Linked DNA regions of Elephas maximus indicus. The protein of the gene in region 2 purifies or fractionates together with the protein of the main gene of each other region. This does not show direct contact. Links are inferred from orthologs where the notes say so. Each region holds a gene or a part of one and is shown on either strand. Other genes may lie near its edges.

Region 1 (7,653 bases), on a different chromosome or scaffold from region 2:
CCTTGAGTTGCGATATTGAAGGATTCTACTGCGAAAATATTAAATGACATAGGAAGCATCAAAAGAAGATGAAAACACATATAGAGACACTATACCAAAAAGAACCGGTAGATGTCCAACCATTTCCGGAGGTAGCATATGATCAAGAACAAATGGTACTTGTCATGGATTGAATTATATCCCCCCAAAAATGTGTGTATCAATTTGGCTGTGCCATGATTCTCAATATTGGGTGATTGTCCTCCATTTTGTGATTGTAATTTTATGTTAAAGAGGATTAGGGTGGAATTGTAACACCCTTACTAAGGTCACATCCCTGATCCAATATAAAGGGAGCTTCCCTAGGGTCTGGCCTGCCACCTTTTATCTCCCGAGAGATAAAAGGAAACAAAAGCAAGCAGAGAGTTGAGGCCTCATACCCCAAGAAAGCAACACCTGGAGCAGAGCGCAGCCTTTGTACCTGAGGTTCCTGCGCTGAGATGCTCCCAGACCAAGGGAAGATTGATGACAAGGATCTTCCTCCAGAGCCGACAGAGAGAGAAAGCCTTCCCCTGGAGCTGATGCCCTAAATTTGGACTTGTAGCCTACTAGAATGTGAGAGAATAAATTTCTCTTTGTTAAAGCCATCCACTTGTGGTATTTCTGTTACAGCAGCACTAGATGACTAAGACAGTACTGAAGGGAGAAGTCTCAGCTACACTGAAGCATTGGCGAAAAACAAGGCTCCAGAAATTGACAGAATACCAACTGAGATGTTTCAACAAACGGATGCGAGACCTGAGGTGCTCACTCATCTAAGCCAAGAAATTTGGAAGACAGCTACCTAGCCAATCAATGAATCCATATTTGTATTCATTCCAAAGAAAGGGGATCCAACAGAATGCAAAAATTATCGAACAATATCATTAATATCACACCCAAGTAAAATTTTGCTGAAGATCGTTCAAAAGCGATTGCAGCATTACATCGGCAGGGAACTCCCAAAAATTCAAGCCAGATTCAGAAGATGACATGGAACAAGGGATATCATTGCTGAAGTCAGAAGAATCTTGGCTGAAAGCAGAGAATACCAGAAAGATGTTTACCTGTGTTTTATTAACTATGCCAAAGCATTTGATCATGTGTTAAAAAAAAAAAAAATTTTTTTTTTTTTTTAACATAACACATTATGGATAACATTGTGAAGACTGGGAATCCCAGAACACTTAATTGCTCTCATGAGGCAGATCAAGAGGCAGTCGTTTGAACAGAAAAAGGGAATACTGCACGGTTTAAAGTCAAGAAAGATGTGTCAGGGTTGTATCCTTTCACCATACTTATTCAATCTGTTTGCTGAGCAAATAATCTGAGAAGCTGGACTATACGAAGAAGAACGCAGCATCAGGATTGGAGGAAGACTCGTTAACAACCTGCAATATGCAGATCACACAACCTTGTTTGCTGAAAGTGAAGAGGACTTGAAATACTTCCTGATGAAGATCAAAGACTACAGCCTTTAGTATAGATTACGCCTCAAGGAAAAGAAAAAACAATCCTCACAATTGGACCAATAAGCAACATCATGATACATGGATAAAAGACTGAAGTTGTCAAGTATTTCGTTTTACTTGGATCCACAATCAACGCCCATGGAAGCAGCAGTCGAGAAATCAAATAACACATTGCAATGGCCAAACCTGCTGCAAAAGACTCCTTTAAAGTGTTGAAAAACAAAGATGTCACCTTGAAGACTAAGGTGTGCCTGACCCAAACCATGGTGTTTTCATTTGCTTCATGTGCATGTGAAAGCTGGAAAACGAATAAGGAAGACAGAAGAAGAATTGAAGCCTTTGAATTTGGTGTTGGCATAGAATATTGAATACACCATGGACTGCCAGAAGAATGAACAAATCTGTCTTGGAAGAACTACAGCCAGAATGGTCCTTAGAAGTAAGGACGGCAAGACTTCATCTCACATACTTTGGACATGTTATCAGGAGGGACCAGTCCCTGGAGAAGGATGTCACACTTGGTAGATGGTCAGCAAAAAAGAGGAAGACCCTCAACAAGATGCATTGACACAGTGGCTGCAACAATGGGCTCAAGCATAACAATGATTGGGAGGATGGTGCAGGACTGGGCACTATTTTGTTCTGTTGTATGTAGGGTCACTGTGAGTTGGAACCAACTCGATGGCACCTAATAACAACAACAAACATTTAAATAATTCATTCTTTCTATTTCAAAATACTAGACTCTTTATAAGTGCATTTTTCTGTGTCCCCTTCCTACTTTTGCATAAATGAAATGTCAAGATCTAGCCAAGAAAACCAAGAAAAATAACTCTCTTGGTGCGTCTCGTCACGTTATTTGAGTAAAAACATTATTACATCTGATAGTTCAGGTGTGCAGAAAGTAAACTGACTGATGTCATAAATTCTGGGCCATCAGATATCTGAATGGCTGGGCTATTTTTTAAAGAAAAACAAAGTATCATATGGCAGTCCAAAGGAAGTCATTGTAATTGAGTTTAGAGTTTAAAGAACTCAGAGAAGTGAGCTCCTTAAGCCAACATCTACAGATCTTTTTTTCCAGATGAACTTTTCACTGGAACCAAAATCGTGCAATTCAAGATTATACACTTTGATGAGCACCTTGAACTGTTGTAATTTTCTGCTGCATAGTGAGTGCAGATTAATCCACGTTTTGAAAATCAGACCAGCAGCTATTACTGGTTGTCTACCACCACAAACTTTAGCTTGACTGTGAATGTTGGAAGGAGCCCTGGTGATACATTGGTTAAGCGCTCAACTGCTAACCAAAAGGTTGGCAGTAGGAACCCACTTGCAGAAGACAGACTTCCGTAAAGATTACAGCTACAAAAATCCTATGGGGCAGTTCTACTGTCACGTGTGGTCACTTGCCATCAGTAGAAAAGCCACTGGACAGCACCTAACAACAACAGTATGAATGTTGGAAACAGAGTAACAGTTTTCATGAAAATAATATGTGCCTCTTTGGGTTGCATTGAAACCCTGGTGGCATAGTGGTTAAGAGCTACGGCTGCTAACCAAAAGGTTGGCAGTTCGAATCTACCAGGTGCTCCTTGGAAACTCTATGTGGCAGTTCTACTCTGTCCTATAGGGTCGCTATGAGTCAGAATGGACTCGATGGCAGTAGGTTTTGGTTTGGGTTGAATGCACTTTAAAAGGAAGTTGGTGAAAAAATATTGCTTTGCCTTGGAGCCTGGGTTATAGCCACACTGCTCCTTAAGACTGTCATTGATTCCGACTCATGGCAACCCCATGTATACCAGAGTAGAACTGTGCTCCACAGGGTATATAACCTAAGCCTGTAAAAACATGTTGCTGTTTAGTTGATTCTGACTCATGACAATCCATGTGTTGCAGAGTAGAACTGCTCCATGTTTTTTTCTTGGCTCTGATGTAGTGGTTAAGAGTTCGGCTGCTAACCAAAACGTCACAGTTGGAATCCACACCAGGCGATCCTTGGAAACCCTACGGGGCAGTTCTGCCCTGTCCTACAGGGTCGCGATTAGCCCGAATTCACTCCACTGCAATGAGCTTGGTTTGGCTTTTGGTTGATCTTTACAGCAGCAGACCACCAGACCTTTCCTCCATGGCACCATTGGGTAGGTTCAAACCACCAACTTTTAGGTTAGCAGTCCAGCATAAACTGTTTGCGCCACCCAGGGACCTTGCACATAACCTACCAGCATAAAAAAAGTTAATGTTTATTGAGTCCTGAAGAAACTTAAAATCTGGTCAAAATAACTTAGGATCTTGTCAACTAAAGTGTGATAAATTAACACTAGGATCAGAATTTGGAATTCATGTAAAGGATTCTACAAAGACCACTTAAATCTCAAATCTCCACTGTTTTTGAAATCTCCTTAAGCAGAAATAGGAAATCTCTAGTCCATCATCCCAGTTTAATTATCTGAACAACTGAACATATCTTTGTGCAACTGACAGCTGCCTGATGGGTTCAAACATGAACGTTTGCATAGGGATTAGTTTTATTCTCAGCTTAAAATCAATAGTACAAAAATACACAAAGACCCACTAAGACTCTGTTTACCTCATTTGTCCCCTTCATTATCACGACTGGTAAAAATGAACTAATTTAATATGCATTTTAACAACAAACAGGATTGCAAAAATGCCGGCAAAGATGGGCCCAAGAAGCTCAACCCATTTCTGTTAAGAACTTGTGATATTTCTGCGCCACCTTGTGGCCACAACGCAACGATTACACGTGAAAGTTAAAGCATTTTCTATGCGCTGGTCAAGCCTTCAGATAACCGCATTGCGGGAATCTGCCTCAACACAAATGAACAGAAAATGGTGTCTTTCTTTCTAGTCCGTGATGGGGAACAGATCTGCCCTTTTCCCACTTCCTCCTTCACTTCCTTTATTCCTTAGCCTTGTGCCCGCCCACCCACTCTCCCCCAGGGCTATTCCTCGTCGGATGTCCTCTCCCACTCCCCCCATCCCTTAGCACCCCTCCCTCAGCCCCTGCCCTCCCCAGGTCACCCCCGCAGCCCGCCCTCCGGATCCCCCTTCCCAGGTCGCCCCTCCTCGGCGCCTCCCGCAATCCCTGCAGCAAGGGCCCGCCCCCTCCCGCTGGCGGCCAATGGCAGCGCGTCCCTCCCCGCCCCTGGCGCCGCGTCCGGGAGGGCGAGGCGGATTTGGGCCTCGGCGCGGCGTCCTGCGGCTCCGGCTCTTCCTCTGGGCAGCGGGGGACCCACGCCCACGGGCCCTGCGCGCCAGTGTCGGGGAGCCATGGACTCGCTGGGGCTGAAGGTGAGGCGGCGGGCGGCCACTGGCGGCCTGGACTTGGTCTGTTTGGGGGAGTGGCGCTGCGATGGGGGCGTGGAGAGAGCGCGGTGAGGTCCGCGAGGCGGTCGTTAGTCTGGCGGGATTTCGGTGCCCTGAGTCCGGGTGCCACCCGCTGGCGTGGGCCTGCAGCCCACGTTACCTTGTCTGCTCTCCAGGGCCCTTCTGCGGACTAGAGGTCCCGGCAGCTCACTCGGGGCGCTGCCTTTTAAAGGCCGTTGGTGAGCTGGTCCTCCAGTTGGTTGTGTTTACTTTGACTTCTGTGTCGTGTTTGCGGAAAGCCCGATTACCACATGCCACTCACTGCACCTCGGGCTGCGATTTCTAAGGACTTAAAGCAAACTAACGTTCTCTTCCCATTCCATAGGGAAAGGAACACGGAAAGCATATGTGAAAACAAAGACATGAGGCTTGAAAAGGGAGGAGTCTTTATTCTAGTGTGATAGTTTTTTTTCATATTATCAGTGATACATCCATTCAGCAAATTCTTAATAAGGGCCCACTTAATAACTGAGCATATGGAAACAGACACGAGACTGGAAAACATAAGCGGTTTCTTTAGGATGATGGTCTCGTTTGTTCACTGATTTCACCCATTCAGCAAATATTTACCGAGGACTCTGTCCACTACGACCTGGAGATCCAGTGATGAGCAGAACCTCACAGCTTCTGCCTTCACAGAGTTTGTAGCCTCATGCCTGTGAAAAGCCTCAGGTAAATAATATTTGACAGTAATGTTAACAAGTTTGTTGTTACAGAGTGAGTATTAAAAAGACTTTTTTTTTTTTTAAAGAAACCTAGAGTCTACTAACGGGAACTTCTTGTCCTTTTTTTTTAAACCCTTTTTTTTGTTTATTTTCCTGTTTTCTAAAATTGTTAAGAAAAGGTGGGCAAAGAGGTGAAAAGTGGCTCGATTTAAGGAAACTTAAAAGAATCACATGAGCTTTATTCAGGATTTTAGATTAATCTGCTTCTAAAAGTGTATCAGGCCACCAGAATCTTTTTTTTTTTTTTAATTTTTAGTCCTTATTTCCTTTTAGGCTTTGATTAATTACTATTGTCAAGAGAGATATTTCCATCATGTGCTAATGGTTGCCAGTGAAGGAATTAAGAGATACGGCAGTGACCCAGTCTTCAGGTTTTATCATGCCTATGGTACATTAATGGAAGGTGTGTGGTAATTATTAAGCATGCTCCAAAAATTTTAATTTCTGGCTTTGCACTATGAACTGTTTTTCACATCATAATCTTTTTGATTTTCAGGTAAAATTCAAGAAGCTCTTCGAGAATTTGAGGCTATTAAAAATAAACAAGATGTATCACTTTGCTCTCTAATTGCACTGATATATGCCCATAAAATGAGTCCTAATCCAGGTATAGTATTTAAGTACAACACTTAGGCAGCTTGCCCTACTCAGTTCATTTTGATTTTTTTTCAATTATTTTAACATTCAGTCTGATCGTGCTGTATTATATGTTGTCTAGGAACTTGGTAGGTTCATCAAACACAGGGAATACCTGTCTTTAAACTACTTTCATATTCCTTATGTCCTGTGGCACAGGTTTTATTAGTGCATAGGGATTATGTGAGTTAACCTAAAGATGAATATGTATTAGCAATTGTTATGCAAAAAAGGCCAGCTGAAAAATAGATGTACACAGAAATCACTCTGTAGGAGCCAACTTTATCACTTACTATGTGGAAACATTTCTGTGTACAGGTTATCTCTTTTACTATATTTTAAGCTTCTTGAAAGTCTTTACATCCCCCATGTGAATTAGCTCTTGGAAGGTACTCTCCAGATTTTTGTCCAGTAATTGGCTGAGAAATATGACCAGGTTATGGAAGGAATGTTATACATAAGCAAGCAATTAATTAAGGTTGCATGACTGTCTTAGTTTATTGGCTGAGGCAGAATATCCAAATTATAGATAAAAGAGTAGAGTTATATTCTCCCATATATATTTATTAATAGCTAGTAGGATTGTAAATATAGAACCTGTTTCAAATGACTAAGATTATAACCAATTGTTATAGAATGGTTTAGGAAAATTTAGAAACTATTTTTTTCCTAAGCAGAGTATTACATATCTCCTTCACCCCACATACATATGTATAAACCCATAAAAAATTATATAAGACAGTATGTTTAGCAAGTAAACAAATATGACAATTAGTGCAGTGGCAGGTGTAGTTGAAAGATACAAAAAAATTATAAGAAGTAATCCATTACCTCAGGCTTATAATCTAGTTGAGCAAAATATAAAAACCTAAAAGATTAAATTTCAGTGTTACTATTAAATCATAAGAAGTGAAACAAATGAATCCATAATTAGTTGGAAATGGTATGTAGTATTAATCCATAGGAGTAAGCTGGGAAGCCTTTGTGAAAAATGGGGACGTAATCTGATCTTTGAAGGACAGATAGGATTTGAATATGAAGAGTATTTGCTAGACAAGAGAAAATAACCTGGGTAGACACATGGAAGTGGTTCAGGATTAGGCTGTTTAGGATTAGATCCCCTTTCACTGTGCTTTACCGGAGCGTGTGTTTAGCTGGAGCAGAGAATTTGTAGTTGAGAGCGATACTAAGTCTAGAAAAAGAAATTAGTACAAAATATTTCCTTCTTGGTATGTTCATTTAATTATTAAGACTTATGTATTGGTTCTGTTGGGTAAAGTGGTTTCTAAGCCCCTAAAAAGACGGAGGCAGAAATATTGGCTAGAGACACCTGAGCACTGACTCTGCTTTCCACTGTAGATGATCCTGAATGGGTTTGAGCTCCAGGAAGGTCCCACATGTCTGTAAATACT
Region 2 (7,257 bases):
TCTCACTACCCAGCATGGTGTTTAACACATGCTTAGTAAATGTTCACGGGATGAATGTTGTTGAATAGGAACTACTGTGTTTTTGCTTGGTGGGGTAGGTGTAGGAAGCTATGCTCCCCACAATCTTCAGGTGCGGGTAGTAGTTTATAGTAAAATTAGCTGGCAGAGCTGGGGCATCATCTGAGTTATTTTCCTCCCGGCTTTTGTTTCTTCTCTGCAGGCATTGGCTGGAATTGGAGTGTGTCCCAGTACCTGATTGCAGCCAGCATCATGTGGTTACTTACTGCTCTTCATTCACCTATTGATGCCGCCCAGAAAAAAACGCAGCCAGCATTCTCGGAAAGCCCCACTGCTATTCCACCAACAACCACTGGAGGGCCCCAAACACCACTGTGGATCTCCACAGCTTCCCATCAGTCACACTAGACAGGTGCCCAGCAAGCCCATTGACCACAACACCATCACATCCTGGGTAGGCCCCTGGTATCCTTACTTTGACTTTTACTCTCTTAGGCTTCTCACAATGCCGCCTCTTCTGGTCTTGAACAAGGGCTTCCAAAAAATAAGATTTATGGTAGATAGGGACAAAGAGGCCATACACTCTCTTTGTCCATCGTCAGACATCTTCTCTGGTACATCTCCTTTTCTCGTTTCAAATTGAGACATAAGTTGGTTGGAACTGAAGATGTTCCTTTCACATTCCTCTGAAAGAGTTCAGTATAAAAGTTTCACTACCCAGTAGCTGGGTGAGAAAGCCAGATAAATGGCCAGACAAGTGAAAAATGAGATTGTTCCCTGAGCTTCTTGTGAGAAGTGGAATATTTGGCTAGGTACTCTATTTACCATTTAACAGATTGGACCTTGAAAAGAAAAATCTATAGAAATTGTATTATGTCATATTTTCATAGCTTCAGAGCCCTTGGAAGAGGGTATAGCTACTGTATGACAGGGAAAAACCCACTGCCGTTGAGTTGATTCCGACTCAATGACGGGGAAGTAGTATAGAAAAAGGGCCATATAAAGCACAAACTCTGCTTAAAAGTGCCTACTGGATATAACTTGTTTGGGATTGCTGGAAGAACCATAATACTTGCTTCAGGATCGTGGAAGAAACAAACATTAGAATCCTGTGGCTGAGAGTAGGAATGTACACTTATGAGTACTTATGATGTGCCAGGCCCTGTGCTCATTGCTGAACGTACGTGATTTCATTTCCATAATCTTGCGTTCAGCTGCAGTACTTACTGAGGGCCTTCTCTGTACCAAGCACTCTGCTAGGTGCTGGGGACCAATGGTGAACAAGACTGTTAGTCCCTGCCTTCATGAAGATTAAAGACAGATGGTTAAATACGTTGTAATTGTATGGTGTGATGAAGTGGAAGAGACATTGTCTCCTTGATTACACATGAGGAAACTGAAAGCCAAAGAGATTGATATAAATTGCCAAAAGCTCTATTATTATCTCATTAGATAGCTATTTTTGTTTCTGTGTCCCTTACTGTAGTTGGCCCCCCATTTAGGATTCTGGTCATTTGATGTAGTTTCCTGAATATAGTTACCTCTGTTTAGACTTGGTAGTTGGCTTTCCTTACCTTTTTTTTTTTTTTTTTTAATCCTTAGGTATTGCCTCAGTTTGATACAACAGCAGAAAGCTGTTTCCAAGTTTACCAGAAACGTGGTCACCAAGCCCAGGCGAGACATTCAAGTCGAAAATCTACCACTTCCAAGTTTCCACATCTAACCTTTGAGAGTCCACAGTCTTCTTCCAGCTCAGCGACATTGGGGATCCCCTTAATCAGGGAGTCTCCTGAGCAATCAGTAAAGATTTCCAGAAGGCCCTTAGTTCCAGTGCTTAGTCCCCAAAGCTGTGGGGAACCGTCAGTACATACACTTGAAAGCCCAGCTTACGTGTTCCTTCCACCTGATATCCAGACTCCAGGGTCATCTCCCGTGAAGGAAAAACCCATTCTCCCAGATCAGAAGGAAAACAGCCTTCCAAGCTGCTCCCTTCGTACGAGTACTCCTAAGAGCCCAGATCCTGGGCCTGTTCTGGTTAAAGACACTCCTCAGGAGAAGTATGGGATAAAGGTCACCTGGAGGAGACGGCAGAACCTGTTGGCTTGCCTCAGGGAGAGAGGGAGGTTGAGCAGAAGCCAGTTCCTTGTGAAAAACTGACATCAGCCTCTCTCTTTATTAAATTCAGGAAATTGACTGCTGGTTTTCATGGAGTTGCTAAAGTCACTTTTCTGGCTCACAAGAGAGTATATCAATAGAATAAGATGGAAATAAAACAAACAGGAAAAATATATTATAACTAGAGCCCTGGAGTCATAAGGGAATTCAGTTCCCTGATTTGCTTTTTAAAATATCTGGTGTCCTATACGGTCACTATGAGTCGGAATCGACTCCACAGCACTGAGTTTTTTTGGGGGGTGTCATAAACAGTTGATCTTTTTTTTTTTTTATATTAACTCTTGAAAATTAAATTTCTTGTACTAACAAAATGTATGTAAATAGTTAATAGGAAGTTTTTTTAGAGAACGCTGCATTTTACTGTCAATAGTGTAGCAATACTGCCCTGTCCATAAAAGGTCTTTCTGGTTTCCTTTAACTGCTACTCATTCATTAATCTTTTAGTCATCTTTTTCAAACAAATTACATTCTACATTTCTGAGTACCAACTCTGTCAGGCTCAGTACAGCTTCCTCTATGACCTAATAGATAGAAAAAAATCAAAGCAAATTTATTGTGACCTCTTTATGGTTGAGTTGCTGCTTCCACAGCCTTGGCTCATCTGTTGGCAGGGCAAGATGAGGACAGGACAGCAAGCCCTGTTTTAGTGAATACCGTGTGGTCAGGATAGAAAAGGGGTAGAGATAAACTAGGTTTGCTTATGTTTTGGCTTTTTGTTCCCAGGTAAATCTGTAAATATTAAATAAGATGGGGAAATGATTTCCTGTAGTAACAGTTTAAAATGTATCTAAATAAATGTGGAAGGTTTTGGGGGAATATTACTTCCTGTTGTAAATAATGCAGGACTGTCATTCAATCTTATTTATTAAGAACCTGTTTAATAAATGTGTCCGGTCCAGCCTGAGGTTGACCAAGCAGGGATTATTTCGCTTACTTTAGATGGGAATTTGAAGCACAGAGAATGAACTGTCTAGAGGATGAGACAGTGAATGGAGGCTGACCCAGTGACTTCAGTGCTCTGCAGTTCTAGCTTATGTCAAGTTCTGTGCCTCTTAAAAAATCAGCTTCTGTTTTGAAAACTAACGTGGAAACAACTTTGGCCTTGGAATGCAATAAACTAAAGTCAATGTATAGTAACTTTTGTCAGGATATTCTGTAGGGTCTGTAGAATATATAAGTTGGTGGTGAGAAAGGAACTGATGGTTGGGGACAAGATTTATTGGAAACGGGTACAGATTTAGATCCCATTTTATGGAGTATGGATGTTTGAAGATGGAAACTCTGGGAGTAGTGGTTAAGTGCTACAGCTGCTAACCGAAAGGTCGGCAGTTAGAATCTACCAGGTGCTCCTTGGAAACTACGGGGCAGTTCTACTCTGTCCTGTAGGGTTTCTATGAGTCGGAATCGACTCAACGGCGACAGGTTTGACTTTTTTTTTTTTTTTAATGGAGTATGGATGTTTGAAGCTGATTCATAGGCTGTAGAGGGAGTAGATGGAAAAGGTTCTCTGAGTCCTGTAGAGCAGGTCTAGGAATGATCTAAAAGCTTGAGCTGGAGTGGGGGAGGCTGAAGGAGGTTTTGTGCAAGACCGGGGAAACTATATGAAGGATGCATTTAAATGGGGATGACTGCTGGAGGGAGTACGTGTGTGGTTTCCCGGAAGGCCTCTGGAATTAGAAAGGGGCCGGACTGCGAGGAGCCAGCCGAGGTCTGTAAGTCTACGTTACAGACCTCTGGGAGCGCTATGGGTGGTCTCAGGGTACAAATGGCGGGGATGCTAGGAAGTAGCTAAGTGAGTGGCGGTTAGTGGGGGATGGGCGGCTCCTCAGATGGACTAGCATCCCGACCGCTGGGAACCTATGCAGCTGACACGAACACATCCTTCCGCCCTCAGCCCCTTCCCGGTGCCGCGCTCCGAGGGACCAAGCCCCCGTGCGTCATCCCTACTTCAGCGCAGGCGCCTTTAACTCCCGGGTTCTTCCCGTCCCTTAGATACCCTCCCGCATCGCCGGGCGGCGGAAATAGCCAATGAGATGGGAGCGTGGACTCAGAGTCCAATGGGCAGTGGTGATAGTGCGGGGTATGGTTGCCAGGGGGCGGGGCCCGGCTGCGGGCCAGACTTGCCACCCTAGCAGCGGCGTCTAGGGGTCTGGACGTGGTTGCACTTACTGAGCTGCGGGGGATGGAGGCGTCGCGCTACCGTCTCGGGCCCGGCGGGGATAGGTCAGACGGGAAATGGTGACTGGTCTGCTTACTTGAGAGGGATGGGGGGACGAAGTGAGAACGTGGTGGTCCTGTCTGGGAGCTCCGAGGGAGAGGGAGGTGGGCTCGGGTCAGGGAGGGAGGGCCCGATTTGGCCTCCGGAGGCGAGCCCTCTCACCCCACTGCCAGCTGGAGCTACCCGCCCCCCCACGTTTAAAGCTGAGGGTAGAGAGCAGCGGCTCTGCAGCCTTCACTGTGGGCGAGACTTTGGTTCAGCACCCTGCTTGGGCACCTTGGACTTTTCGTTACCAGCTAGCTGTCTTTGCCCTCTCGGGCCTCAGTTTTACCTTACTTCAGGTGCATCAGCTCTGCTCCTCACGGACTGCCTAATGGTGGCATAGCCGAGGTTGGATGCAGTCTTTTCCGAGGATGTCGAAGCAGAAGGTTGTGGGTGGTATTTTGTAATTTGCGCTGATGCCAGTCGCTTTTGGTAGGCGGTGCCGAATTCTGGAACTGAGAGGAAAATGCAGAACTATTCTTCTGTCTGCTTTCTAGTAGTTTATCTCTTATTCGAGTTTGTCTGTCTTATTAGCGAAGGCACTATAGCCGTCGGTGCTTTCTTTCCATGCCTCTTTCTGCCTCCACCAGAGGGAGAGCCTGGAAAGTAAAACGGTCCGAAATCTCAGCCTGTCAAATAAATCCCTGTTAGCCAAGTTAATGAAAAGTTAATGAGGAGCCGGGTGAGATCATTGACTGAAAACTTTGGCATTGTCTGAGAATTGAAATCATACAAGCTAAATACATTCCCCAGTTTTTATTCCACTACCATGGCAAATGAAAATTTGACTAGTAGATTTAGACTAGTAAATTTTTAAACAATCCTAAACCATTTTTAGAAATTGTCACGCAGGAGATGTTGGGTGAGTCAACACCCATTTTCCTTTTTCATCAAGTTCTGCTTATCTACACTCTGAAATTTGTTCACTGCACTTTTTTTTTCTCTTCAAGTGGTGAGAAAAAATAATCTACATTTACAAGTATAAATATGCGAGTGCCGAAGGGTTGAATTCAGATGGTACTTGTTCGGTTTTGACACTTGATAAATCTTAATTGAATGAATTTAAGGCAGTAAATTATGCGAATACCAGATGTTTAATATGACTCATTTTTTTTTTTTTTTTAATGGAATTGACTTTGAAATTGAGACCAGGAGGCAAAATGGTTTTTAACTTATTGGACCTGAAGCCTGAAGGGGTAATTTTAAAGTCTTCCCCCCACCCGTTTTTCTTCCCAAAGAAACCAACTCTTTAATTTTTATAATTGACATCAAAGGGAAATGTGTGAGTCACCAAATGTTTCTCCTGTTAGTGCAGCTTCTATCACTGCTTAACTCATTCGTTGCTGAGGGAGTGGAATGTCTTTTGTTTTTTTTGGCTTTAGGTTTTTTGTTTAATGTTTTTGATAAAATAAGAGTTTTTGGTATTAATACCTTTTAGTGTGGGGATAACATCTGTGATTTTTTTTTCCTCTGAATTTTGTGACTTTTTTTTTTTTTTTTTTACCATGAAGCACATTTATTTTCAATTAAGTGAGAAAGTTACCAACAAGTAAACTTCAAAAAATTTTTTTTTGGTATCTGAAATATTTAGTGAAAATTGAAGGTGAAATTTGACCAGCCATCTCAGGACCTTTGTTAAGGCTTGGTGTTTCATATTATAAATTCCCTGGCTATGAGAGGGGTTGGTTAGTGCTGGAACTTGAGCTCTATCTGCCCTTTTGCTCCAGACAGAGAATTGAAGGTGTGGTGAGAGAGATTTCCCTTGTGACCTTCCGAGCCAGTATTGTCTCAGAAAGTCATGGTCTGTGGTTTATCCGTAGGCCACGATTTCTCTTTAGAATGATCAGCAGTAGTAGTTGTCCTGTCTTGAGTTCTCTTCTTCTGAATTTTTCATCAGATCATCTCATTGTTAGCAGACTTACCCATACATGACTACAGTATATTTGGCAAATATAAAAAATTACCGTAAAGGCCAAGTAGCATCTAACATGCATGTATTTCTCCGAATATGAAGGCTACCTACAGGGCTAGAAAAATCCCTGTAACAGATTTCCTTTCTTCCAAGGTTCTTCTGTTCTAAGCTGCACAAACAGGCCGATTCATATTTTTTGAGCCTTTCTAGTTTCAGTTTCTGGCTTCTTTTCTATGGAAACTCTTTCCCCTGCCTTTGTGCCCTTTGAAAGAAAAAATTAATGTTTTTTTCTTATTGAGAGGAAAAGAATGCTTGAATTACTCAGGGGAGTTGACACTACTCTGCTTTTCGGTATTTGAGGGCTTAGGATTAGAAGGGGCTTTGGTAATTCCCTTCGTCCTCCTGCTCGAGGGCCGCCCTTCAGTGGAATTGTCAAGGCTTCTTTCAAACTGCTTTTGCTTTATATCCTCTGAGTCAGTTCCCTGGAAATAAGCTGTCTGTACTACTGAATGTATTCTGCCTCGTCAGACATCTTTACTGGTAGTAAGAACGAAAACTGCAAAATTTTCCTGGCCGAGTTAAAGTTTGAATTTATTTAAGTCTGAGAGAAGGCATAGTGATGCATGTGCTGTCTTCATTAACTCACTTGTTATTCGATATGAGCCTTGATAATGACGATGTCGTGTCTGTCCTTTTGTCTTAGAACTTCTGTGAAAATATTGATGATTAGCATTGTATCGTATGAGTCACCAGGACCTCTGAAAGACCACACTTCTGAAAGGGATTATAGTAATGTTTTTATTATTTATAAGATGGAACTTTCTGTTTTACCATGTAGCTTTATAATGAGGGGGAAAACACTGGAAGCTTTCCTCAGGCTCCTGAGTTCTAA
Region 3 (7,428 bases), on a different chromosome or scaffold from region 2:
AGAGACCATGGAAAAGCTCAATATCATTAGTCAGAACAAGGCCAGGGGCTGACTGTGGAACAGGCTATCAATTGCTCACATGCAAGTTCAAGTTGAAACTGTCAATTCTGACTCAGAGCAACGTTATAGGACAGAGTAGAACTGTCCCATAGGGTTTCTAAGGAGCAGCTGGTGGATTTGAACTGCCTACCTTTTGGTTGGCAGCCAAGCTCTTAACCACTGTGCCACCTGGGCTCCTTACCTTTTTAGTACTGTATGTTTCTGTATTACTGTAAGTCTTCTTGAACTTAACTGAAACACAATTAACTCATTCATAGTGGTAGATGAAACTACCACTGACATTTTCTGCCCCTGGAGGTTTATTGGCAGGCATTTGAGCCACTTTAGTACATTCTGGTGTTGTGGCAGGTACTGGTGCAACTGCCTAAAAAGAAGGAAGTTGGTTTGCGCTGCATTTGAGTGTTGAGAGCCATTCGCATGAGGTGATGATTCTGGAGGAATGACTGTGCAAAACTTTTGTGTCTTTTGGCTTCTGTACAGCCAGATAAGTCTTGCAAGGATGTTTACTATTTTCTTTGTGTTTTGGGGAAGATACTACTCCAGCATTCAGAAATAGTCAAGCAAGTGAATTATTTTGGAGGTGAAAACAGTTTGTGATGCACTTCCTGGGTCGTCGTACCGATATGTACTGCATGTGTGATCTGCTTCACGGAACACATGACAAAGATGGCCTGCTTGTATTAGTCACCTCCCTGATATCTTTTATAAAGTGCTCATTTCCCTGATGACATTTTTTTATACTCTTCCTGGGCCATAGTACTGATACGTACTGCGTTTGTGATATACTTCATGGATCATGGTACTGATGTGGCCTGTTTGCAACTGGCAGCCCATTTTTTAAAATAATAAAAAATTACCAGCAAACAATGACTCAGCAACCATTTCATCAGTGAAAAAACAGGCATCACACACACACACAAAATTACCCTTTAAAGGATTAAACTTTGGTAACAATTTGATTCTTTTGGGTCTTTTTTAAAAGCTTTGCTAGGCAAGACCAGAGGCAAGATTAGTCTACAACTAATTTTTCCCTAATATTGAATAAAGCCTTTCTGCATACTCTACTCAACGCCCCATGAATTGTGAGGTTTTATACTCTGGCTGGTCTCTGGGTGGTGCAAATTGTTAATGTGCTCAGCTGCTAAGCAAAAGTTTGGAGGTTCGAGTCCACCCAGAGACACCTCGGAAGAAAGGCCTGGTGATCTACTTCTGAAAAATCAGTCATTGAAAATCCCGTGGAGCACAGTTCTACTACATGGGGTAGCCATGAGTCAGAGCTGACTTGACAACAACTGATATACTCTAGCTGGTGGGAACAGGAACTGTTCTCAGTCTTGTGTGAACTCTGAGAATTGCTGCCTTGACTAGTTTCCTTACAAGCATGTCCTGATCAGTACTCAGGGAAGACTTTAAGGGGCACCCTCTGCAGATCTCTGGTGCTTTCTCTTTGTGAAACTCTCTCCTCTCCAGTACTCTGCCATGCAAACTCCAGCCACCTTGGCCTCAGTGGACTTCCAACTTTATTTCCTCTACTTGTGACGACTTGTTGGGGCCCACCATTGTCCCCTTGGAGTATATCATTGTCCTTATGTTTCCCTCCTCCAATCTCATCTCCAACAAATATTTTTCACATTGCTGCCAGAATAATCTTTTTGAAGATCACAGCACTCTTCTTGAAAACCCAGCAGTGGTTTTCCAAAGCCTAAAGAATGAAACTCATGCCCCTAAGTGTGGTATGGAATAACAGTTATGGTCTTGATCTTTTTTTAGGTTACAGATCCACTTGAGAATTTGGTGGAAACGCTCCCAGTAAAACACGTTGTTGTTGCAACACGATGGACATAATTATTGTCACTGAACTGTACATGCGAAGACTGTTGAAATGGCAAGTGCTTTGTTACACATATATTTACAATAAACACAACAGCAAAAAAAATGTTGTAGTTGTTGTTAGCTGCCATTGAGTTGGCTCTGACTTATGGTCACCTTATGTATAACGGAATGAAACATTGCACAGTCCTGCACCATCTTCCTGATCATGATCGTTGGTATGTTTGACTCTACTATTGCAGTTACTACATCACTCAATCACATTGAGAGTTTTCCTTATTTTTGCCGACCCTCTGTAGGGTTGCTATGAGTCAGAATCGACTCGGAGGTGGTGGGTTTGGTTTGGTTTTTGGTTTTCTACTTTACCAAACTGGTTTACTTTACCAAACACACACATATGCAAATACACAATGCTTTACATTCAATTGTGGGCCAGTGGCCCTGGATTCCTCAAATGCGGGACTGGGTGAATGGGCTGAATATGAATACAGGCAGAGTTTGGCACTCAATTAGCTAAAAAGCCAAGAAAGTCTATGAATTTTTAAACTAGAGTTTTGATAAGTAACTGTCTGCTATGTTGTCGCTGCTGTTAGGTGCTGTAGAGTTGGTTCCAACTCATAGTGACCCTTTGCACAACAGAATGAAACACTGCCTGGTACTGTCTGCTATAGGTAAGCACAATGACTCAATTTAAATTTTTGGAGGACCTATTATTTTGACTCTACATTTTTGCTTAAGGCTAAAATAAATAAATAATCTAAGCTTTTGCAGGCTGCTAATTTCTTCAAGAATTACCATTCAGGTCTCACCATCAGGAAGCCTAAAACCAAAAGACCAAAAGCCAAATCCATTGCTGTTGAGTGGATTCTGACTCATAGTGACCCTATAGGACAGAGTAGAACTGCTCCACAGGGTTTCCAAGGAGCAGCTGGTAGATTCGAACTGACAACTTTTTGATTAGCAGCCAAGCTCTTAACCATTGCACTGCCAGGGCTCCTTTCAGGAAGCTTAGTTGCCTAATATCTGTAAATAAACTGACTTCATTTAACTTGTGATATTCATCCTTACCCTATCACTCTTATATTAACTTCTTTTTCCTAGCCAAATCCAATAGTTTTTCAAAGTGTACATCTACTTCGAATCTCTTGAATAGCTTCTCCCTGGCTTGCAGGACTTCATACTCTCCTAATTTTAATTTTTCCGGCATAATTTTCTTTCTCTACATATGGATTTCTCCCTGAACCTTAATGGTCCCATTCCTTCTGCTTTAAATATTACCATGTAAGTGGACAATTTCTGAATTTTACTCCTCTAACATTCCTCCCCTTCACCCAATCACGTAGTAAAGACATCTCCATTTTAATGTGCAGATTTCACACCTAAATTTAGACATCTAAAGATACATAAAATATACCCTGCAGCAGAGAAATGTCCTCAGCTTTAGTATTCCCTGAATGGCCGCAGAATCATTAAAGTAAAAATTTAAAAATTAACCTAACTGAAAACCCCAGTGCATGGGAACAGCATCCTACATAAGAATCTGGGAATATCCATCATTGTTGTTGTTGTTAGGTGCCGTTAGGTCGGTTCTGACTCATAGTGACTCATACAATAGGACAAAACACTGCTGGGTCCTCTACCATCCTCACAATTGTTGCCATGTTTGAGCCCATTGTTGCAGACACTGTGTCAATCCATTTTGTGAACGGTCTTCCTCTTTTTCACTAACTCTCTACTTTATGAAGCACGATGTCCTTCTCCAAGGACTGATCCCTCCTAATAACATGTCCCAAGTAGGTGAGACAAAGTCTTGTCAGCCTCACTTCTAAGGGGCATTCTGGCTGTACTTCTTCCAAGACAGATTTGTTCGTTCTTCTGCCAGTCCATGGTATTCCTTGCCAACACCATACTTCAAACACATCAGTTCTCTGGTCTTCCTTATTCACTGTAGAACTTTCACACGCATATGAGGCCACTGAAAACATGATGGATTGGGTCAGGTGCACCTTAGTCCTCAAGGTGACATGTTTGCTTTTTAACAGCTCGAAGAAGTCTTTTGCAGAAGATTTGCCCAGTGCAATATGTCATTTAATGTCTTGACTGCTGCTTCCATGAGCGCTGACTGTGGATCCAAGTAAAATGAAATCCTTGACAACTTCAATCCTTGTCCGTTATCATGACGTCGCATTCATCATTAGTTATTTTAAGTTAGTCATTTAATTTTCTCTAAGTAAATCATGGTCCTTCCTGATTTTGAAAAAAGACGGATTGTTTCACTATTTCGGCAAAAGATGTACTTTCATACTCTAAATAGTGAAGCACAAATACTACAGCTGGTATAATAGTATTGGTGGGCCAAAATCTACCGGGGCGCCTTTTCGGAGCTCAGAGCCCGCCTCCGGTGGGGGCGAGTCTCTGAGGCTCATCCAATCAGAGCTCAGTCAGGAAGTAGACGTCCTAGCGCCCCGCTGACATCACGTGATTCTAGCCCACACCTCCCACCCGCCTTTGCGAAGAGTCAAGCGCTCATCCCTGCGCGGTATCCTGCTTCGCGAGGCGCCTCCCATCAGACAGCGCTCGTTGATTGGTCGCTGGTCGTGCGGTCTCCTGGGTGACACGAACGCGGTAGCCTTCTTGGAGGAGACGGAGTGCGCTTGCGCACACGCTGCATCGCGCGGCTGCTAGAGCTTTGAGATGAAGGTAAATAACTTAAAAACCCCGGGAGGGCGGGGGCAGGAATAACGCGACCACTGGCCCTTCTCTAAGCCGGCCAAGCATCAATTTGAGGAGAGGGCTGTGTGTCTTCCTCTGTCTTCCCAACTGCGTGACTAGAGATGGGGGAGGGCGGGGACGAAGTTAAAGGAACAAGAGGAAAAGAAAGAAAACACAGGGGCGGAGAGGGAGGCCTCATTTCTGGGACCGCGAATGGGTGGTGTGGGAAGAGGGAACTCCGCCACGGCCGGAAATGGACAGACTGGATCTCAAGAGACCTCGAACTTCGCAAGGCGGAAAGATCTGGTCGTGAATGCGTTTGGAGGGTCTCGGTGAAGTAGACTCGATCGGGTGTCACTCCCACGTGTCACTAGCTGCCTCATTTCTTGCAGCTAAACCTTGCAAGCCGCACAATTGCTCAACGCCTCAGTTACACCACCTAAAAAAAGTGAGAAACCTCTAAAGAATAATTTCAAATTGTATTGTCTGTGATAGTCCAATTTACAGATCCTCTGGTGGCGAGTGTACATTATTCACGGAGACATCTGCACCTTCACACGCAGTTCTCACGTTCATGTGTGTCGTCCTCTGCACACACGGTTTCTAGGCTTGGGCTTCTAGTGAACCCCACTCCCAGGTCACTGGCTATAGCTCATTTACCCTTCCACTTTACCTCAGCAACACCACCCTGCCTTGATCTGGCCGAGGAATGGAAAGCTCACATTTAAAAAAATTGTTCTATACATCCTAATGCTTCTGCGTGGCTGTTAGTATGGAAATTGAGATTGACGGACTGATAAACATAACTCACATTTTTAAAATCACTTTGCAAGTTATGAGGTACTTTAAGTGAGATATTATTATTGCAGTTTTATAATTGGGGATTCTGTAGCAGGAAGAGTTAAAACTTAAATCTTAGTTTTTCTGGTTGTAATGCTAGCACTTTCTCCTCTGCACTGTATATGGAGCATCTATATAGCTCCGCTGAAGAAAAATTATATGTAAGTTCGCAGCCAGAGGCAGGTCTGCTGTGAAAGTAGAGAAGGTCAAGTTTCAGGGCAATGTGGTCATATGTTTTTGTAAAATTTGCAAAAGTGAGATGTTTTCGTATTCTTCTTCAAGAGTGTCTTAAAAAAAAAAAAAAAACAAACCTGGGCGTACCTGTGATTGTAACACAGGTAAGAAACCCTGGTGGTGCAGTGGTTAAGTGCTGGGCTGCTAACTGAAAGGTTGCAGTTGGAACCCATCGGCCACTCTAGGGGAGAAAGATGTGACAGTCTGCTTCCATAAAGATTTGCAGCCTTGGAAAATATATGGGGCAGTTTTACTGTGTCCTGTAGGGTCATTATGAGTAATCCACTCTACGGCAGTGGGTTTAGTTTTGGATAGCTCGTGTATATTTTCAACAGAGATGGATTTCATCTTTGGCATATAAAATGTTCATTGATCAGTGTCTGAGTATTGGAAGAGTTTTGTGTTGCAACTCAAACTGTTAAGTCTCCTGTAGTCCTATCTAAATTTCATATTCCTATGATATAGGCTATTCATAAGGTTTTCACTGGCTAAAGCTTTTCAGAAGCAGACTGCAGGGTCCTTCTTCCTAGCCTGTCTTAGTCTGGAAGCTCAGCTGAAACCTGTCCTCCATGGGTGACTGACCCTGTTGGTATCTGAATACTGGTGGCATAGCTTCCAGCATCACAGCAACACACAAGCCCCCACAGTATGACAAACTGACAGATACGTGGGGACAATGAATAAGGAAGATCAAAGAAGAGTTGACGCCTTCGAATTGTGGTGTTGGCGAAGAATATTGAATATACCATGGACTGCCAAAAGAACGAACAAACCTGTCTTGGAAGAAGTGCGGCCAGAATGCTCCTTAGAGGCAAGGATGGCGAGACTGCATCTTACATACTTTGGACATGTTGTCAGGAGGGATCTGTCCCTGGAGAAGGACATCATGCTTGGCAGAGTACAGGGTCAGCGGAAAAGAGGAAGACCCTCAACAAGGTGGATTGACACAGTGGCTGCAACAATGAGCTCAAGGCTAACAATGATTGTAAGGATGGTGCAGGACTGGGCAGTGTTTCATTCTGTTGCGCATAAGGTTGCTATGAGTCAGAACCAACTCGACGGCCCCTAACAACAACAACATGATATAGGCATCATACCTTTAATAATATTAAATCTAAATTTTCTCACTGAGCTCTGTGTTCCTGTTTAACATAAATATAATGAAAGCCAATGTAATTAAAAATTTTAGTAGCCATGTTAAAAAACTTCAGACAGGTAAAATTAATTTTAATATTTAATTTAACCCAATATACCAAAAATATTATCATTTCAACATGTCATGAATATAAATATTATCAGTGAGGTAGTTTACATTATTTTTGTCATGTCTTTGAAATCCGATATGTATTTTATACATACAGTGTATCAAAATTTGGACTACCCACATTTCAATCAGGTGCTCAATAGCTACATGTGGCTTGTGGCTACCATATTGGATACCACAGTTCTAGATGGTCTAGTGAGGAGAAAAGAATGGTTTTTCAACTGATACCCTGTTGGCCCAATAGCCAGATTAAACACTTAATCTTTAACCAATGGGTAAAAGGAGAAACAATTTTCAAGGAAGTATCCAGTTCCAGTGGAGCTGATTCCAACTCATGGTGACCCCATGTGTTGCAGAGTAGAACTGTCCTCCATAGGCTTTTTATGACTATGACCTTTTAAGCAGATCACCAGGCCTTTCTTCCCAGGCACCTCTGGGTAGGTTCAAAGCACCAACCTCTCAGTTAATATCCAAGTGCTTAACAATTT
Region 4 (7,277 bases), on a different chromosome or scaffold from region 2:
GGAGCAGATTTTTTTCTCCCTAGGAGTGGCTGTGTGGATTCCAACCACATCTTGTTGTTAGTGGCTGAGCACTTAACCACTGCGCCACCAGAGCTTCTTAATAAAATACTCAATGATAATATATCCATGGAGTTTCAATTCAGAAAATATGTGCACGTCTTTTCCTTGAAACAAACTCTGGGTCTCTACAACATAAAAACGCCGGGCAAATGTCTGGGCTTTGGGGAAAAGAAAAATCTTTTTATCGTTTATTCTAACTGATTTCCTTTCTCACCTCCATGTCTCCAACATATTCACAACCTCTATAAATGCCACCACTAGTAAGATTTTTGGAAAGAATCCCTCAAGTTTATTCAGATAAGGCCTTCTAGGATCCCTGGTTGCGCAATGGTTAAGTGCTCAGATACTAACCAAAACATCAGTGGTTTGAACTCACCCAGCAGCTCCGCTGGAAGAAAAGACATGGTGATCTGCTCCCATAAAGATTACTGCCTAGGTATTCCCATAAGACCAGACTTAATGGTCTGACTGAGACTGGAAGGACCCCCGTGCTCATGGTCCCCAGACCTTCTGTTGCCCCAGGACAGGAACCATTCCCAAAGCCAACTCTTCAGACATGGATTGGACCGGACAATGGGTTGGGGAGGGATGCTGGTGAGGAGTGAGCTTCTTGGATCAGGTGGACACTTGAGGCTATGTTGGCATCTCCTGTGTGGAGGGGAGATGACAGGGTGGAGGGGGTTAGAGGCTGGTGAAATGGACAGGAAAAGAGAGAGTGGAGGGAGGGAGCGGGCTGTCTCATTAGGGCGAGAGTAATTGGGAGTGTGTAGCAAGGTGTATATGGGTTTTTGTGTGAGAGACTGACTTGATTTGTAAACTTTCACTTAAAAAAAACTGACTTGAGTTGCAAACTTTCACTTAAAGCACAAAAAAAAATTATTAAAAAAAAAGGATTACTGCCTAGGAAACCCTATGGGGCAGTTCTATTCTGTCACACGGGGTCGCTATGAGTCAGAATCGACTCAGTAGCACCCAACAACACCACTCCTTGGAGACATTTTGTAACAGAACCGAAAGGAATGAAGCCCTAAAGGGGGACTTTTAGGTAACAGGGAGCTGAGTGTGGGGGTGGGCACTGGGGTAAAGCCTCATGCTTGAGGCCACAGCTTGTGAGCCTATGGTCAGTGCAGGGTCATTTAGCTGCATCTAGGCGACACCACTCGATCCACTGGGTCATAGGTATCATTTTATGTCACAGGATTTTGGACAAATGGCCCACAATGCCATTCTTATTCTCTTTCAGGTGCACTGGGTTAAGTATCAAATCTGAGGGTGCTGCCCCCAACCCCACCCCAGTGCATACCGCAGGGGTGGACATCAATTCAGACAGCAGTCAGAGACCTGGGATTGTGCCTGGAGGTAACAACAGCCAGCATACCAAGTCCTGCGTAGCTCTCTTGCGATGCTCGTGATTGTCCTACAGAGTTACTGATACTGTCCTTTGACAAGGCAGTAGCCCTAGCATGGAGAGGCGAGAAGAGAGCCCATGGCCTATACCAGGGTTCTCCCACTAGGCACCCTGGGCTGCCAGAACAAAAACCAAACCTGTTGCCGCTGCGTCTATTCAGACTCATAGCAACCACATAGGACAGAGAAGAACTGTCCCACAGGGTTTCCAAGGCTGTGAATCTTTAGGGAAGCAGGCTACCACATCCTTCTCCCAAAGAGTGGTTGGGTTCAAAAAGCTGACTTTTCGGGTAGCAGCTGAGTGCTTAACCATTGTACTACTAGGGTTCCTTATAATAAAAAAAAAAAATCCTTTGCCAAGGAGTCAATTCAGACTCATGGTGTTGTTGGTAGGTGCCATCCAGTTGATTCCAACTCATAGGGACCCTATGCACAACAGAACAAAACACTGCCCGGTCTCATAGTGACCCTATAAGGAGAGTAGAACTCACCCTTCGGGTTTCCAAGGCTGTAATCTTTGTGGAAACAGACTGCCACGTCTTTCTCCTCAGGAACCGCTTGAGGGTTGGAACCACCAGCCTTCTGGTTAGCAGCGAAGCGCTTAACCGTTACCCACCAGGGATCCTCCCCTGGGCTGCCACCCACACCTAACCCGGCCCGTGATTGAAAAGGCAGAACAAGTAAATCGAATCCACTTTGTGCCTCGAAACAGCAATGCAAAGAAAAGAGAGGTTGGAGAAAATAAGGCGGCCCGGGTTTAAAGGCCCCTAGCCCAGCCTGGAAATCCTGGTGGCTAGTGTTTAAGCGCTACCGCTGCTAACCAAAAGGTCAGCAGTTTGAATACACCAGGGGCCCCCTGGAAACTCTATGGGGCAGTGCCATTCTGTCCTGTAGGATCGCTATGAGTTGGAATGGACTCGACCGCGAGGAGTTTGTTTTTGGTTAGCCCACCCTTGGTGGCCTCCTCCGCCCCGACTACCCCCTCAGAGACCTTGAGAGAGGGTGTTTTTGGGGAGGGAAATAACTCGAGGTGACGCTAGGCCGGGGTGCCTGGCCGGCCCACCCCGGTTCCGCCTCCCTGCGCCCCAGCCTCCCGAGTCCCCGACTCTGGCCCTCTCCAGTCCTCAACCCGACCCACATATCCGCCACGATCCCCGGAGTCCTCAATCCGACCCCCACATCGGCCCACGAATTCCCGTGACCCTGTCCCCGGAGCCGCGGCCCGTGACCACGACCCCAGCCCCAAACCCGGGGAGGGAACGAGCTCACCTCAGCCCGGGCCACAGCGCCGCCGCCCGTTGCCGGGACAACGGCTGCGCGCGGAAGGCGGAAATAGCCGAAGATGAGTGAGGAGAGCCGAGGGGGCCGGAAAGAGCCGAAGACGATCGGGAATGTTCGTGCAGCTCGGAGGGCTGGGATTGACCCGCCTGCGGACTGCAAGTCGGAGGTTTTGTGGTGCGATGTGTCCTCTAACCAAAAGACTGCAGTTTGAATCCACCAGCTGCTCCTTGTAAACCCTATGGGGCAGTTCTACTCTGTCCTGTTGGGTAGCGATGAGTCAGAATCCACTCGACCGCAACGTGTTTTTTTGGGTTTGAACCCTCTCAACCATAAAGACACGAAGCCAAGGCGCAGAAGCAGATTATCCAATAGGCAACTTAATCACGGTTTTTACTTTGCTTACCAGATCATCTGTAGTGAATAATTTCACATTTTTTCACCACATTAAACGTTCTGCTTCTAGGTAGGACTGGCACCTGTCTCTCTCCCAACCCCACAGCACCCTCCTACAGAATCAAAGCCTCTTTTCAAGTTCACAATCCCTGACAGAGGCAGACGACCCAGTAAACAAGGTAAGCATGGGTTTACTTGTGCTTACCTACTAATCTGAGGTGAACAATTTCACATAGGTCTCACCACATCAAAGAAATTGCTCACTACATATGATTTGGTAAGCAAAGTCAGCACCGTGCTTGCCTTGCCTATTGGATAATTCACCTCTGCCAAGGCGCCAGGATATGCTGTACTAAGAGAAAAGGGAAGCTGTAACACATCTCCTAGGTGTGGCCGGGCAGTTCTACTCTGTCTTATAGGGTCACTATGGTCATAATCAACTCAATGCACACAACAACAAATATACATACAACATTTGCCTATTTGACACTTTTCACGTGTACAATTTAGTGACATGAATTACACTAATCATACTGTTCAGCCATCACCAATATCTGTTGCCGAATTTTCCATCACCAGAAACAGAAACTCACTGCTTCCTAGAACGCCACTGTTCTTTAAGATGTTTTAATTTCCAGTTAATCTTAATGCAGGATGGTTCCTGATCCCAGGCCATTTGTTTGGCTCTGCTTTCTTTGTCTTGTCTTAAAATGGAGAGTGTGGTTCAAGAGTATTTCTGAGAAAAGCCAGCTGGTTCCATAGAGTTTCTTGAGGTTTTCAGGTCATTTCTTACATATATAAATGTTTTGGGTCCCATATGGATTCATTTGGCAAGAAATGGTGGCCAAAGACACGGGTTTATCCCATCAGAGACCATCTTTATTCGTCGCCACGGGCTGTGTGCCCACAGACGTTAGCAACATGTGGCCTGGTCTGAACGGTCAGATGTGGCTAAACTGACTCTGAAAAACAAACCAATACATCTTTAACTGTTTGAAAGCGGTCAGCATCATTAAAAAGAGAATACAGTCACAATAGCAAAAAGATCCACATTGTGAAACATGAGCAAAAGTAAAAGATGAAAATGTAGCTACTGCTAAGTTGGACACACAAGGAAATTCTATTTTTTAAAACTTCGTTTTGCTTGGAAGGAGTGCAGCCAGAATGCTTATTAGAAGCAAGGATGGTGAGACTTGTCGAAACTTCTCTCACAAACTTTGGACATGTTATCGGGAGGGATCAGTTCCTGAAGAAGGACATCAAGCTTGGTAGAGGGTCAGCGGAAAAGAGGAAGACCCTCAAAAAGATGGATTGACACAGTGGCTGCAACGATGGGCTCCAGCATAACAACGATTGTGAGGATGGCCCAGGACCGGGTAGTGTTTCGTTCTGTTGTACACAGGGTTGCTATGAGTTGGAACCGACTGGAGGGCACCTAACAACACCACATTAGCATTTTAAAAACACTCCTTTGTCGCCATTACGGAGAAAAATGATTTAAGCGCCTAACATAGCCAGCTACGCCAAAGAAGCTCCAAAGGAGTACCTCCATCCAATAAAGGGTGTGTTTATCTCGCTTAAATGTAAATTTACATCTTTTGGTCAAAAGCCACGTTCGCGCCGGATTCAAGACTCGGAGTTCAGGCTGTGTTTTCTCTCACGCATCCGTCAACACTGCCTCGACCAATCACAGCCCGTTAACTGACCCCATTGGCTGTCGCTTCACCAGTCCGGAGAGACGCCTCAGCCCCGCACCGCCGCGGGGACGTCGGCACAATGTTACGCGCGTCCCAAGTCCGCCCTGCCGCCCCGCCCAATTCCCGTGAGTGCAAGCGCGCGCGTCTGCTGCTGGCCAATGGGAGGGCCGCTCGGGGGTCGCGCTAGCTGGAATGCCCAGGCGTGCTCGCCTCCGCGCGAGTCGCTCCGCCCCGCGCGCAGGCGCTAGCGCCAGCCCCGCCCCGGCCCCGCCCCGCCCCGCCCCCCACTCCGGCCCCGCCCCGGCCCCCGCCCCGGCCCCCGCCCCGGCCCCCGCGTCTACGAGCCGTGCGGTGGTCCCTGTCGGCTGCCGTAGCCGGAACTGCTGTGAGAGCGGCGGGCCGAGCCCCCGGGACGCTGAGGGGCAGGCGCGCCTGCGCTCGCTGCCCCGTCTGTCGTTCGCCGGTCCGCTGAGGAGACGAGTCCAGCGAACGACGCGCGGCCACCGCGTCTGGGGAGGGAGGAGCAGCGTTGCGTCGCGGCCTTGCTTCAGCCGGAGCTCAGGGCCGGGCTGCCCGGCCGGGCCGATTCTGCGGGCGCCTCCTGGGCCGCGGGCAGGAGGTCCCCAGGAAATCGGGAAGCCAGGCTGCCGCGAGGCGTTGATGAAAAAGGTGACCGGGGTCTCGGGAGGGCCGGCCTCCCTAGGGACTGTCATGGCGGGCCCGGGTCCCAGTCGGCAGGTGCTGCGGGCTGAGCGGCCGGTGACCTCGTAGAGCCGTCTGGCCGGGTCCTATGGAGCCCCTAAGCCGTCCAACCGTGTGCACGCAGAAGGCTTTGGGCAGTTTGGGGGAACCCTCCTCCGCTCACAGTGTTGCATCGGCAGCGTTCTTTGTGCGTGGACAGAAATCTACCCAATAGCAAATTTTACTTTTCCCATCCCGAAACGTGACACATGGTGTCAAGCTTTGATGGGGGTCGAGATGGAGTTCACCTCTGTGAAGTCAGGAAGGTTTTCAGTAAAAGGATTCAGTTCCTGTGTTTTTCTCTGCCTTTAGGGGAAAAATCTGAACTATGCCAATATTCTTTTAATTCTGGATAGGGTTTTAGTGTTTTCCACCGTTCTATCAGACAAATGCACAAGTTATTCTGTTGAGTCTGAGGGATGTTTTGCTCGGGTCCTAGGCTGGTTGTGGGTAGCTCTGGCATCATAGGTCCCTCGGAAGTAGGGTTCCCCAATCAATAACCCATGGAAAGGCCTTTTGGGATATTTTCAGGTTTCTTAAGTAGAAAGGGATAAATTGAAAGTACTAAGGAGAAGTCCTACTCAATGAAGTCTTTTAAGTTTGGGTGTTTGTCTTGTGTTGATCTGTTCTTTGACAGAGCTATTATTTTTTTACAAGCGATCTGTAAAGTCAGTTCGAATAGATAAAAACTGCTGCTGATCATTTGGTGGCAGAATATGGCAGACTAGTGGTACTCTTACGATCTTACTTATTTACCCATTTCCAGACTTTTGTATAGGAAGTCGTTGTCCTCTTACTGTATTTCATTGTTGGTGTTAGTACCTAGCTCTTGTTTTCCTTTAATGGACTGTTGCCCTCCTCAAACAGTTGTGTTGTGCATGGTATCAAACAGTTGGGGCATAGGATCTAAATCTGTTAAAAAAATCCAATATATAGCTTTCATACACAGTATTGGATATTTCTGGCCACAAAATATTGACCTGTCCCTGATTCTCTTAGTTCAACTTTGATCAGACCTGCCTTCTGGGTTGCAAACATTTTTACCATCATTGCATCTTATTGTTGTTGGCATTTTACACGCTGCGGGTAACATAGTTAATGCAGGAATTTTATTTATGGTTACCAAGAGTTTTGACAACAATTTTCTTCTGCTTATTCCTGCCCCTGGACCTGGAAATCACCTGGGGCCGTCACTTTGACGGCTGCCTCCAATCTGTTAGATGCAACAGGCTCCTTTGTTGCAAAAGCATTTTTTTAAATCCGTAAACCCCCAGCAGCAGCAAAAACCCCACACCCTGGGATGCAAGATTCCCAGAAACCCCAAGCTCATGGTCCCTCTGCATGTCTGTTTTCAAATCAGAAAGCGGACGGGCAGCCGCAGGCCACCAAGGAGTCCCCTCCGCGGGCCGGCCACCCCGCGCCCCTCCGCCTCCGGGGTCCATCAAGGCCCCTAGCCCCTGCTCCGAGGCCACCTTCAGGAGCCCGCGTGCGGGGCAGGTGCGCGGGCCCCGGGAGCCCCACGCCGGTTTCCAGGGGCGGGGAGGGGGTGGTGACGAGGCCGGAGGAGCTGAGCGGCGGTCCGGCCCGGGCGGTGCGGGGGAGCGAGCCGTGCGCGCAGGCGGCCCCGCGGCGCCGAGGCCATGAGCTGCGTGCCCGCCGGGTACGTGGCTGCGGGACCGGGCCCGGCGCCGGGGCGCG

The links.
Region 1: the proteins of TULP3 (region 2) and TTC21B purify together in Homo sapiens (affinity purification with mass spectrometry; 5 studies listed by BioGRID and IntAct, counting the BioPlex papers as one, with this or other methods). This does not show direct contact. The link is inferred for Elephas maximus indicus from reciprocal best matches to the Homo sapiens genes TULP3 and TTC21B.
Region 3: the proteins of TULP3 (region 2) and WDR19 purify together in Homo sapiens (affinity purification with mass spectrometry; 5 studies listed by BioGRID and IntAct, counting the BioPlex papers as one, with this or other methods). This does not show direct contact. The link is inferred for Elephas maximus indicus from reciprocal best matches to the Homo sapiens genes TULP3 and WDR19.
Region 4: the proteins of TULP3 (region 2) and IFT140 purify together in Homo sapiens (affinity purification with mass spectrometry; 5 studies listed by BioGRID and IntAct, counting the BioPlex papers as one, with this or other methods). This does not show direct contact. The link is inferred for Elephas maximus indicus from reciprocal best matches to the Homo sapiens genes TULP3 and IFT140.

Annotation. Positions count from the first base shown.
Region 1 is NC_064824.1:64,019,470-64,027,122, reverse strand, and holds the start of TTC21B (tetratricopeptide repeat protein 21B), read left to right. Parts: upstream 1-4,651; 5' UTR 4,652-4,784; coding exon 4,785-4,805; intron 4,806-5,878; coding exon 5,879-6,008; intron 6,009-6,101; coding exon 6,102-6,212; intron 6,213-7,653. UniProt on the Homo sapiens protein: Component of the IFT complex A (IFT-A), a complex required for retrograde ciliary transport and entry into cilia of G protein-coupled receptors (GPCRs). Essential for retrograde trafficking of IFT-1, IFT-B and GPCRs.
Region 2 is NC_064822.1:59,077,435-59,084,691, forward strand, and holds the start of TULP3 (tubby-related protein 3), read left to right. Parts: upstream 1-4,238; 5' UTR 4,239-4,375; coding exon 4,376-4,431; intron 4,432-7,257. Other genes in the region: RHNO1 (RAD9, HUS1, RAD1-interacting nuclear orphan protein 1), read left to right, coding at 305-472, 1,621-2,175. UniProt on the Homo sapiens protein: Negative regulator of the Shh signaling transduction pathway: recruited to primary cilia via association with the IFT complex A (IFT-A) and is required for recruitment of G protein-coupled receptor GPR161 to cilia, a promoter of PKA-dependent basal repression machinery in Shh signaling.
Region 3 is NC_064823.1:121,674,546-121,681,973, reverse strand, and holds the start of WDR19 (WD repeat-containing protein 19), read left to right. Parts: upstream 1-4,417; 5' UTR 4,418-4,584; coding exon 4,585-4,590; intron 4,591-7,428. UniProt on the Homo sapiens protein: As component of the IFT complex A (IFT-A), a complex required for retrograde ciliary transport and entry into cilia of G protein-coupled receptors (GPCRs), it is involved in cilia function and/or assembly.
Region 4 is NC_064830.1:58,722,131-58,729,407, forward strand, and holds the start of IFT140 (intraflagellar transport protein 140 homolog), read right to left. Parts: upstream 3,018-7,277; 5' UTR 2,737-3,017; intron 1-2,736. Other genes in the region: CRAMP1 (protein cramped-like), read left to right, coding at 5,499-5,507, 6,940-7,076. UniProt on the Homo sapiens protein: Component of the IFT complex A (IFT-A), a complex required for retrograde ciliary transport and entry into cilia of G protein-coupled receptors (GPCRs).